4 linked regions of the Saccharomyces cerevisiae S288C genome follow. The gene in region 3 interacts genetically with the main gene of each other region. Each region holds a gene or a part of one and is shown on either strand. Other genes may lie near its edges.

The links.
Region 1: mutations in EMI1 (region 3) and COX7 together harm fitness more than expected from each alone (negative genetic interaction), as found in Saccharomyces cerevisiae (2 studies listed by BioGRID).
Region 2: mutations in EMI1 (region 3) and PLN1 together harm fitness more than expected from each alone (negative genetic interaction), as found in Saccharomyces cerevisiae (2 studies listed by BioGRID).
Region 4: mutations in EMI1 (region 3) and AIM4 together harm fitness more than expected from each alone (negative genetic interaction), as found in Saccharomyces cerevisiae (2 studies listed by BioGRID).

The regions. Positions count from the first base shown.
Region 1 is NC_001145.3:778,421-780,726, reverse strand, and holds COX7 (cytochrome c oxidase subunit VII), read left to right. Parts: upstream 1-1,599; coding exon 1,600-1,782; downstream 1,783-2,306. Other genes in the region: PET111 (Pet111p), read left to right, coding at 1-1,098; GFD1 (Gfd1p), read right to left, coding at 2,160-2,306. UniProt on the Saccharomyces cerevisiae protein: Component of the cytochrome c oxidase, the last enzyme in the mitochondrial electron transport chain which drives oxidative phosphorylation.
Region 2 is NC_001143.9:523,712-526,701, reverse strand, and holds PLN1 (Pln1p), read left to right. Parts: upstream 1-1,627; coding exon 1,628-2,479; downstream 2,480-2,990. Other genes in the region: histone chaperone NAP1, read left to right, coding at 62-1,315; YKR045C (uncharacterized protein), read left to right, coding at 2,733-2,990.
Region 3 is NC_001136.10:1,470,000-1,472,832, reverse strand, and holds EMI1 (Emi1p), read left to right. Parts: upstream 1-1,769; coding exon 1,770-2,333; downstream 2,334-2,833. Other genes in the region: YDR514C (uncharacterized protein), read left to right, coding at 1-1,285; dithiol glutaredoxin GRX2, read right to left, coding at 1,385-1,816; SDH7 (Sdh7p), read right to left, coding at 2,415-2,816. UniProt on the Saccharomyces cerevisiae protein: Involved in sporulation. Required for the full activation of the early meiotic inducer IME1.
Region 4 is NC_001134.8:608,013-610,958, forward strand, and holds AIM4 (Aim4p), read left to right. Parts: upstream 1-2,025; coding exon 2,026-2,397; downstream 2,398-2,946. Other genes in the region: RIM2 (Rim2p), read left to right, coding at 1-773; RNA polymerase II mediator complex subunit MED8, read right to left, coding at 1,070-1,741; MSI1 (Msi1p), read right to left, coding at 2,602-2,946.

The sequences.
Region 1 (2,306 bases), on a different chromosome or scaffold from region 3:
AAAACCACTGATGGTAAAACGCGATTACGGCCCGCATTTATTCAACAATTATGGTCATGTGCCGTAAATGTTTATCCAATGCTGGCAAAAGAAATTACAAATGACCTACTTGTGACTCTAAAAAGGAGCCAATACAGCAAATGTCTCACTTGGGTGTACACATTTTTACAAGAAAATGCCCATATCCATACGAGAAAGATCAATGGAGGAGAAGACTCTTCGTTATCTGGTTTCAACGCGGTTGATTTTGAAAGGTTTGAAGAGTTCAAGAAAAAAGTTTCTCACAATGATGTATATGGAGCAGAATTGGTGATTTCGAATAGTTTGAAGGAGGGCATTGCGCCTCAATTTTCATTTTTGTATTCCGTTTTGGCATTATGCTTGAGAAACTCTTTAACTGGTTTGGCACGTGTAGTTGATGTGATATTAAGGACCAGATTCCGCTATATCCCACTAAAAGTCGATATATTATGGTTGAAATGGGAGATCATTTCTAATTATAGATCTTTTGAAAAGTTGTCTGCTGAACATTTAAAAGAACTGGAATTCAAACTGAAGGAATTTGAACGAGTACATCAAAAGGAGCTTTCAGTTCAAAACTATTTACAACTTACTCAAATATGTTTCCACACCCGTGATTTCAAATATGCATGTTACCTAATTTCACAAGCTAGAAAAAATTTGGATACTTCAAATAACAAACAGTGGATGATGTATTACATGACATCTTTAAAGTTGGCGTCAAGAATGCATGAAAGCGAACGGTTTAGTAGGATTTTAAAAGACTGGAATTGTAATCATAGGGCAAGCCTGATTACTCCAGGTTGCATTAGACAAATCAAAGGCTTTATGAAATATTTTGAGAAAAGGCCTGCTTACATTTCAACTGCTGCTTCCATTGATAACAAGGAGATAAAGGATCGCATTGACGAGTTAGTACTTAGATATGTGGACTATAAATACCAGGGGCTTGAGAATATGAGAAAGTTAACACTTTTCTTAAAAGAATGGTTTGATGAAGAGATTTCACTATTAAAGTTGGAGCAAAATGAAAGGAAAATGAAGCTTTTTGAAGAGAATAAAAAGGAGGAGGAGTAATCTTTTCAGTTATTTACCTTCCTTTCTCTCACGTGTAAATATTTGTGTGTCATACACACCGCTAAAAACCTTTGCATCAACTTATACCCTACATTTCTATAGACGCTATTTGGAAACAAGATGTAACCCTTTTTTTCTTTTAGTTTTGAGATTTGTACTCGTAAAGAGTACGTTTATTTATTTATTCAAATTTTATTCTTCATACCATGTAAATATAAGCGCATATAATCACTACGATCTTAGTACAGCTAGAATTGCTGACGCTTACAATTGCTTTATTGTTTGATTATATGCACGTATACATATAGTGTCAGCAAAAAAAAAAAAAGGCAGTACTTGATTGGCTACGCCGCGCATCGTCCGAGAAATCCGGCCTGGTAGGGGCAGGTTTGAAAAGGCGGATAGAAATAAAAGATGATATTATTTATTCATCCCATGAATAGTAGAACTCGATATAAGATTCTAAACCAACAAGTACAGAAAGCAAAACAATAATAAATAATGGCTAATAAAGTTATTCAACTACAGAAAATCTTCCAATCTTCCACTAAACCTCTATGGTGGAGACATCCAAGGTCAGCTTTATACCTGTATCCATTTTATGCTATTTTTGCGGTAGCCGTCGTTACACCACTTCTATACATTCCAAATGCTATTAGAGGTATCAAAGCCAAGAAGGCATAGTTAGGTAAAAATAACATCCGTTCATAGCATCTTTATAATTGTTCTTTGATATTAAGTGTGTATGCTCAATACACATCACCCAAAACATTTTTATTCGAAATAAGATGAAAGCCATTTATTTATATATACATATATAATATTCTAAAGAATAAGGAAACAACTAATCGAACTAGCATAGCCTTTTCCATCTTTGTTTTCTTGCGCAGTAATAAATCGTTTCAGTTAGGCCTGGCAATAAAGATTTGCTAATCATTGAAAAAGGTGTGATTGATTTTCTCACTTGAAGTATGTCTAGTATTTATTAAACAATTATAATGGTGTAAACTAATGTCTCTTCAAGCAAAACGTGCTTAAAAGTGTCCATGTGATGGGAGGGATCATATTTTCAAAGAGGTCTTCAAACGTTGAAGGATAAGCTCCTCTTCATCATCGTCAACCCAGTTGGAGCTCCCTTCATCGTTCAGAAAATCCATCAACACTTGTTGCTGTTGATTCTTGTGATGAGTCTTTTGCAATATTTCCCT
Region 2 (2,990 bases), on a different chromosome or scaffold from region 3:
TTTGATGGTAGATTAGGAGGATTTAGTGAGCCCAGTGGGACCAAGAGCAAAGCGCAAGATCATGTCAGACCCTATCAGAACGAAACCCAAGTCGTCGATGCAAATCGACAACGCCCCTACGCCTCACAATACCCCAGCATCGGTTCTGAATCCGAGCTATTTGAAAAACGGCAACCCAGTTAGGGCCCAGGCACAGGAGCAGGATGACAAGATCGGCACCATCAACGAGGAGGACATCTTGGCTAACCAACCCCTGTTGTTACAGTCCATCCAGGACAGACTTGGCTCGCTGGTGGGCCAGGACAGCGGGTATGTGGGGGGTCTTCCCAAGAACGTTAAGGAAAAGCTGCTGAGCTTGAAGACTTTACAAAGCGAGCTATTCGAAGTTGAAAAGGAATTTCAGGTGGAGATGTTTGAGCTAGAGAACAAGTTTCTGCAGAAGTACAAGCCCATTTGGGAGCAGCGGTCCAGGATCATTTCAGGACAAGAGCAACCCAAGCCGGAACAGATCGCAAAGGGCCAAGAGATTGTGGAGTCACTCAATGAGACGGAGTTGTTGGTGGACGAAGAAGAGAAGGCCCAAAATGATTCCGAGGAGGAACAGGTGAAGGGAATTCCCTCATTCTGGCTAACCGCATTAGAGAACTTGCCCATCGTTTGCGACACGATCACTGACCGCGATGCGGAAGTTCTGGAGTACCTGCAAGATATTGGTCTGGAATACTTGACGGATGGTAGACCCGGTTTCAAGCTGTTGTTCAGATTTGATTCTTCCGCCAACCCATTCTTCACCAACGACATTCTGTGCAAGACCTACTTCTACCAGAAGGAGCTCGGTTACTCCGGGGACTTTATCTACGACCACGCAGAAGGCTGCGAGATCAGTTGGAAGGACAACGCCCACAACGTCACTGTGGACCTAGAAATGCGCAAGCAGAGAAACAAGACCACCAAGCAGGTGAGGACCATCGAGAAGATCACTCCCATAGAATCCTTTTTCAACTTCTTCGACCCTCCCAAGATCCAAAACGAAGACCAAGACGAGGAGTTGGAGGAAGACCTCGAGGAACGTCTAGCTTTAGACTACTCCATCGGGGAACAACTTAAGGACAAGCTAATTCCTAGAGCCGTGGACTGGTTTACCGGCGCAGCCTTGGAATTCGAGTTCGAGGAGGACGAAGAAGAAGCGGACGAGGACGAAGACGAAGAAGAAGATGATGATCACGGCTTGGAGGATGACGACGGGGAATCTGCCGAAGAGCAAGACGATTTTGCTGGCAGGCCGGAACAGGCTCCTGAATGCAAGCAGTCATAATCCCAACGCACTTCGCAAGAGTGGTCATAACCGTATTCATATATTTATATACATATGTATACATACATATATAGATATATATATGTATATACATGTAAGTGTGTAAGCTGAAATATATGTTAAAGCGCATGTAACTAAGACGACAATAATAATAATAATAATGATAATAATAGCCTAGATTTTCTCCGCCGTGGGGGATGATCGTATTCTTTCGGATTTAATAATATAGCAGCAAGGGTTATAAAAGGAAAGATAACGGAATGTATCGGTAATCATTAACCATCACTCACTCTCCAGAACCGTAGCGTAATTATGTCTGAATCATCTATTTCTTCTTCTAAACCATCTGTGGAATTGCCACAAGCAACCTGGTCGCATCTGCAAAGATACCCAGCTTTATCCAAGTTTATTAAATATGCGGAATCTCTGCCACCTGTGGAGAGATTGATTTCCTTCAACCTCGTTGTTTTGGGATCTGTGAACCAGTGGGTTTCCGAATCGTCCAGCTCTCCTCGTCTGGTGAAGCAAGTTGTTGCTGCTGGGAAGGAAGGGGCCTTCAAGTTGGACGAGTTAGTTAACCTCTTGGTGTTCAAGGAGGGTGTCGACGGCTTGCTGTACAATTGGAAATCACATTCCAACACGCCAGGGATCTGGCTGGTGTGGTTCTTCGTCGACTACGTCGCCAACATTTCTAATACTCTGTTGAGGGAGTTCCTGATCAAGCCATTGCACTTGCAAGGTTCTACCGCATCGAAGGAGATCGGCTCTTCCGGTGAGGAGAACAAGGTCACTGATGCTTCTTCTTTGCCCCACGTGGCAGAGTTGTCTTCAACGACCAGAGGTATGTCGCAGGAGATCCAGTCCAAGGTCAAGTCGAACTATATCGACCCAACCAAGGACCTGGCTAAAGAAAAGTACGACGCCATAGTGAAGCCCACAACTGACAAGTTGCAGTCTGTGTACATCGACCCAACAAAGACTAAGCTTAACGAAACCTACCAACGCTTCACCACTGTCTATGAAAACAATCTAAGTAAATCTGAAAGCGTCCCTAAAGCCATTGTATCCACCGGGTTGGACTTGGGCAATGCCACCATTGAGAAGCTAAAGGCCTCAAGAGAAGACCAAACCAATTCTAAGCCCGCGGCTGTGTCGACCAATTAGTAATTTGGTTTTGCGCTAATCGTGCGCCTGATTTTTTTTCCTGCCACTCTTATATAGTTATTTGTTATTATTCTATTATTTCATCTATTGTTTGCTAGCTATTATGTACGTTGCTGTTTGAGCACTATATACAATTGAATACCAAAGAAAAAATTATAAAAACGAAAAAAAAAAAAAAAAAAAAAAATTTGGTTATAGCTCGATCAAGAGACAATAAAAGTGAATATACATGGTGCCAAGGGAAAGTCCTAGCATGTCAAACAGTCATCATACATCCCAGGGAAGAAGAAACAAACTTTCAGTGTGGGTTAAAAAAATAATAAACACCACTACCACAACTAACGCATCGGTCTCGAGCAGTAAACCAAGACGCGGCACTAGGGCTGGCCCCACAAGAGTTAAGCGTGCTGAGTTGGATCCGGATGGAACAACCATCAGTTCGTCGTTGCGACCATTGGTTGATCGAAATTCGTTGCATTCGAGCGAATCCGATGACGAAGGAGACCGTCGA
Region 3 (2,833 bases):
AGGGGGCGTGGGACTGTATAAGAGTTCAAGTAGCAAGTTGATGAATAAACTAGGAAGACAAAAGACATGGATAAATGAGTTTGAACATTTTAATTCTCTGCACGAAATTGCATATACCCCTAACATTGCGTTAAGTAGTGAAATCCAAAAATATTTAAAGGCATTGGAAACAAACTATCGGTCCATCTATGAGAAAAGTTCAGAATTACTGGATAAGAAGCTGGAAGAAATTGACAAGAAATGGATAGAGAAAAACGGGTGTATACCTGATGCATCTAAAGACGATGTGGAGAAAAATCTAAGAAAGCAATATTTAGCAGATGTACAGGACGTAAAAAACGAACATATACCTGTGATGAATTGTGAACCTGGTGGGTCTCAGTTCAAGTATCTCTGTAAAACTATTGAGTTATTATCATCCAACAAGACAATTTGTTTTGCCATCGATGTAGAGGCATTTGAATTTGATACAGACATTGTTACAGAGATTGGCATCGCCATATATGATCCAAGAGAAAACATTTATTCCTTGATGCCGATTATAAGAAGTTATCATTTAATTGTTGCTGAAGCGTTACCGTTAAGAAACAAGAAATTCGTATGCGACTTTAAAGACTGCTTTTTACTTGGAGAAAGTCTTGTATTACCATTGGAACAATGTGTAGAGTTCATTCAGTCGTTGATTAATTTCTATATGAAATGTGAGACGGACCAAGATACAACCTGGGAAAGAGCGTTTGTGGGTCATGCTATAGCGGGGGATATTAAGTGGCTGAAGAAAATTGGGGTCCATGTACCTGAATTGGATAATGAACTTACCAAACCGGAGGACTCAACGGAGAGCAAAGGTGTTAGAAAACATGTTAAGATGCTTGACACAGAGAAAATTTATAGCATGTGTTATGGCAAGAAGGGTAGCAGTTTAGGTAAACTACTAAGGCTTTTTCACTTGCCACATGCCTTCTTACATAACGCAGGCAATGATGCATATTACACGTTGCTCCTGATGCTGAAGTTAGGAGATTATAACTTTAGAAAGCAAATTGGGGCAGATGATTTAGAAACAATGGGATATAGGATAAGAGAATGGTTTAAGCGTGAGGCGGACGAACCCAAAATTTTGCCAATGTCGTACGTGCTAAGTGTGATGAATGCCAATAATAGCAAACCGAAAGTTGATGATAAGGGAAGAAAGAAGCCGAGGGATCTTGTACCTCAGACGGAATTTAGCGGGTCTCATTGGTTTCAAAATGCACGCGCAGCCTTCAAAAGTACTCTTGTGTGAATCTAGCTAGAAGTTTTGTAGGTATATGTGATTTAAGATATAGATAATAAAAGATATATATATGTAAATATTATGAAGGGGATATTAGCGTAATTTAAACTATTGAAATACCGGCTTCAATATTTCAGCTAACTTGCCATTTTTCTTCAAAGTTTCCAAATCGCTGTTACCACCAATGTGCTTGCCATTGATGTATACGTTAGGTACAGTTTTTTGGCCCGAGATTTCTTCTAAAGCGTCTTGAATCTCTGAGCCATTGCTCATTTCATCTAATTCCAACACAAGGGCCTTGGATTTGGGAACGTTCAATTCTTGGAAGAGGGTAGACAAAGTAGCTTTACAGTAAGGGCAGTATGTCTTTGCTGCAACAAACACTTCCTTTTGGCCAATCAGATCCTTTACGTGAGCAACTGTTTCCTGGGATACCATTTTTGGAGTAGATAAAAATCTTTTAGCAATAATTCTTGTGGCAAACAACGTGATAATGATAATAACAATTAAATTCGAGTCGAAGGAAAAATTGGTCTCCATGAAACAATATATAACAGTAGTTGGAGTGTCCGTTAATCAAGAGGGCACCTTTTCTTGGCGTCCTGGGACTTTTTATATGAAAATTCATGAAGAAAGTGCGGCGGGCCCCTTTGCGAAGGGGGCCGAAATATCGGATCTTAGTAATAGTTCTGCTATTGGATGTGGTATTAGCATAAATCAAGAGGGAGGCGATGGTTCTATTAGGGTAAAAGAGAGCAGCTTGAGGAAGAAACAGGAAAGGATGAGTACAAAATATCCGACAACGATGAGTTGCCGAGAGGCATTTGATCAACTGACGAGTTGCTATTCGATTGGAGGGCAATTTAGAAGCTATTACAGATATGGAGATTTTACATCATGTGACAAGCAGGTGTCCAAATTCAAGTTTTGTATTATCCACGGCAATGACCCTGTGAAAGTGCAGGAATGGTATAAAGATCAGGTTTCCAACAATAAGGCATTGGAAAATACCAGTGGGGTTATATGGCAGGAGAGGGAGACCACTGCAAATAAGTGAGATTTTTAGCTTTTTTTTTTTAGCATGTGTACTATATAGTATATGGATTTCTTATTTACAAGCGCAATAAAAAGACGAACACTAATCCTTGTTGTTCCGCTTCACGTCCTTACTTGATTCTATTTCATTGTCTTGGTGAAGTTTCTGTGTTTCCTTCATCAATTCATACAGTTGAACTGTTTGCTCAGGGGATAGTTTCTCCAGGGTTTCCGAAGATAAAGTGGCATCTTTCCATTTACCGTTGGAAATCATGTGGAGATAATCTTGCCAGGAAGCTAAAAAGCCGACTATATGCAACGGGTTATCGATATCTTTGTGCAACTTGAACTCGTTTCGCACGTATTGGTCACCCATCTCCCTTTGGGGACCAGGTAGCAGCTTATGCTGCCTTAGTATCCTTCTGTAGAGAACCAAAGGTGGAAGTAAAAGCTGGCTGTTATGGGTTGCAAATCTAACCGAACGATATATGAGCTTGTTGTTCATGGTGAATGAAGACGGGA
Region 4 (2,946 bases), on a different chromosome or scaffold from region 3:
GAATCATAGGCAATGTGTACAAACAAGAGGGTTTTAGAAGCTTGTTTAAGGGTTTGGGCCCCAATTTAGTCGGGGTTATTCCAGCAAGAAGTATTAATTTTTTTACCTATGGAACTACTAAAGATATGTATGCTAAAGCGTTCAATAATGGCCAAGAAACACCTATGATTCATCTGATGGCTGCTGCAACCGCAGGTTGGGCAACGGCGACGGCAACCAATCCTATTTGGTTGATTAAAACAAGAGTACAGCTTGATAAAGCTGGGAAAACATCGGTCCGACAGTACAAGAACTCTTGGGATTGCTTAAAAAGTGTTATAAGAAATGAGGGTTTCACTGGCTTGTACAAAGGGTTGAGTGCCTCTTATTTGGGTTCTGTTGAAGGTATACTTCAATGGCTATTATATGAACAAATGAAGAGGTTAATAAAGGAAAGGTCTATTGAGAAATTTGGATATCAAGCCGAAGGTACAAAAAGCACATCAGAGAAAGTCAAGGAGTGGTGTCAAAGATCAGGAAGCGCTGGTCTTGCAAAATTTGTGGCTAGTATAGCAACATATCCGCACGAAGTTGTCAGGACGAGATTGAGACAAACGCCCAAGGAAAATGGTAAACGAAAGTATACAGGTTTAGTACAAAGTTTCAAAGTTATAATTAAAGAAGAGGGACTCTTTTCAATGTATAGTGGGTTGACCCCGCATTTGATGAGAACAGTTCCGAACAGTATAATTATGTTTGGTACATGGGAAATTGTTATAAGGCTACTATCGTAGCCTTGAAATCTAAAAAACTCTAAATTCACTTTAGGGCCAAGACATACTCTAACAAAAAAGTATGAAAAAAGTGCATTTTGTAAGGATATAAAGCCTGTCAAAGTTTATAGAAAGCTAACCTACTAAGGTTTGGACCCCTTCGTTTCTTCTCCTTTACTTTGCATTATTTATCGTAACATATCAATGATCCTTATTTACTTCATTCAGTAAATTGGTCCTTTTATACTTGTAAATATTTTTACCAGGTCACTAGTAACAATAAAATGTTTTAAAATATCAGTAGCGTGAAGTAAAATTCAATTACTAGATGATGTTGAAGTAGATCCCGTAATAATGGGCTTTTCCCCTGTGAAGGTGAACTTTAGAACATCATCCACATTGAAAGGTTTCGAAGGTTTGCTATCTCGTACTAGAAGTGAAGCGTGTTCTTCGCTTAGGGATTCTTCATTTTTGAAATCGTGCTTTCCATATTCGTTTCTAAACGTAGTGCGCGCCCAATTCGTTATTTCTCTGTCCTGTTGCAGCAGCTTTTCTATTTCTTCATCCTTTAGCAAGGCTGTAGTTACTCCAGATGTTTCCCTAACATATTTCATCCATTCGTCCACTTCAGGAATATTCTTCTTCCTCAAAAGGGTAGTGACCAAACTTTCATGAGAGGTGGTTGGGAATTTAGGCAAAGGGTAAACCACTGTAGAGTCTAAAGTTTCTTGGAAATGTTGTAGAGTGGAGGTTACAGAAACGAGCTGGGATAATGTGACATTCAGTTGTGATTGGAGTGTATACCATTGTGGCAGTTCGGCTTTGGACATTTCGTCTCTGATTCTCCTCAATGAATGAGTTAATTGAGCCAAACGCATGCGCACGGCATCTAAAGCCTGGCCAGGTACACCATTGAAATCAAAACTAACATCTTCTTGGAGGGAGCCTTGATTGCCCTCTGGTACCAGTGATGCAGTAGATTGTGACATATTCCACGTTGCTTTATGTTTTTCTTTTGTTCTTCTTGCTCGGGGTTCTCTTATATCGATGAAATATTTCAATATTAAAATCCTTAACTTTGACGAAAAGGCAATTTTTGTATATTGAGTTTCCTTACTTTTTTGAACAGAACGTACTTTTAGACACTTTGCAAAGGCCTTCAGCAAATTTTTTTGATTATTTTCAAATATCAAGGAAATATATTACCTTCAAAGTCATCCAATCCTTTTAGTTCTCGCATTCCATCATTTTATACTATATACGTTTGAGCTTAATGGATCAAAAGAAGGACCCAAGTAATAACTTAACAGAAAGAAGGGTTTCCAAGGTCCAACGCCCAAATAAGAAAAAGGTACGAAATCAAGTTGAATCACTTTCTAGAAACCTAGAGAGAAATAAAGAGGGACAGCTTCTGCAGACTGTATCAAAAGGTCATTTAGAAGCTGATTCTGGACACTCACTGGGTCGTGAAAAAGAGAACGGTGAACTCGGTATAAGAAGTATATTTTACGATAAAGACTGGAATCCAAGAGGCACTGCACCATCACATTACAGAAATATACCTTATAATCCTGCCACTTTCAAAAGGCGAACTGAAGTTCAAGCCAGACTGGGAAACCTCGAGAATATCAAAATACCAAAGTGAAAGTTCAAAGGTAATAAATGAGCAACCACTTTCTTCGAAATACAATATTGAAATCAGCATGAAGTCTGAGCGTAGTGTTTATTGTAGCAAGTCTTGAGCATATTTTATAAACTCTATTTATGTTTGTATATTCGTCTATCAAATGGTTGAATATGTAATAGGGACAGGAGCCATTAGCATGCCTGGCTTCAAGGAACGTTTAGGTCACGAATGTCCAACAAGGTTTCCTGCAGGTTTCCATATGTGAACTGAATTATCATTTGCCACACTGCACATTAACCAAGGGTCATGAGCGTCCCACGAAATGTCGTTCACACCGAGCATATGACCACCATGGGTAAATATAGTTTCTTCGCAGGAGGTATCCCATAGCTTGACTAACCCATCTTCTTGGCCAGCCGTTGCCAATACAGTATCGAAATTTGGACTCCATTCTAAAGTTGAAACGGAAGTACCGTGCTCCATGGTAGCGATTGGGCTTTTGTTCATGTTTCTAATATCCCATAAATTTAGCCTCCCATTTGAATCTGCAGATGCTAGAATTAAAGA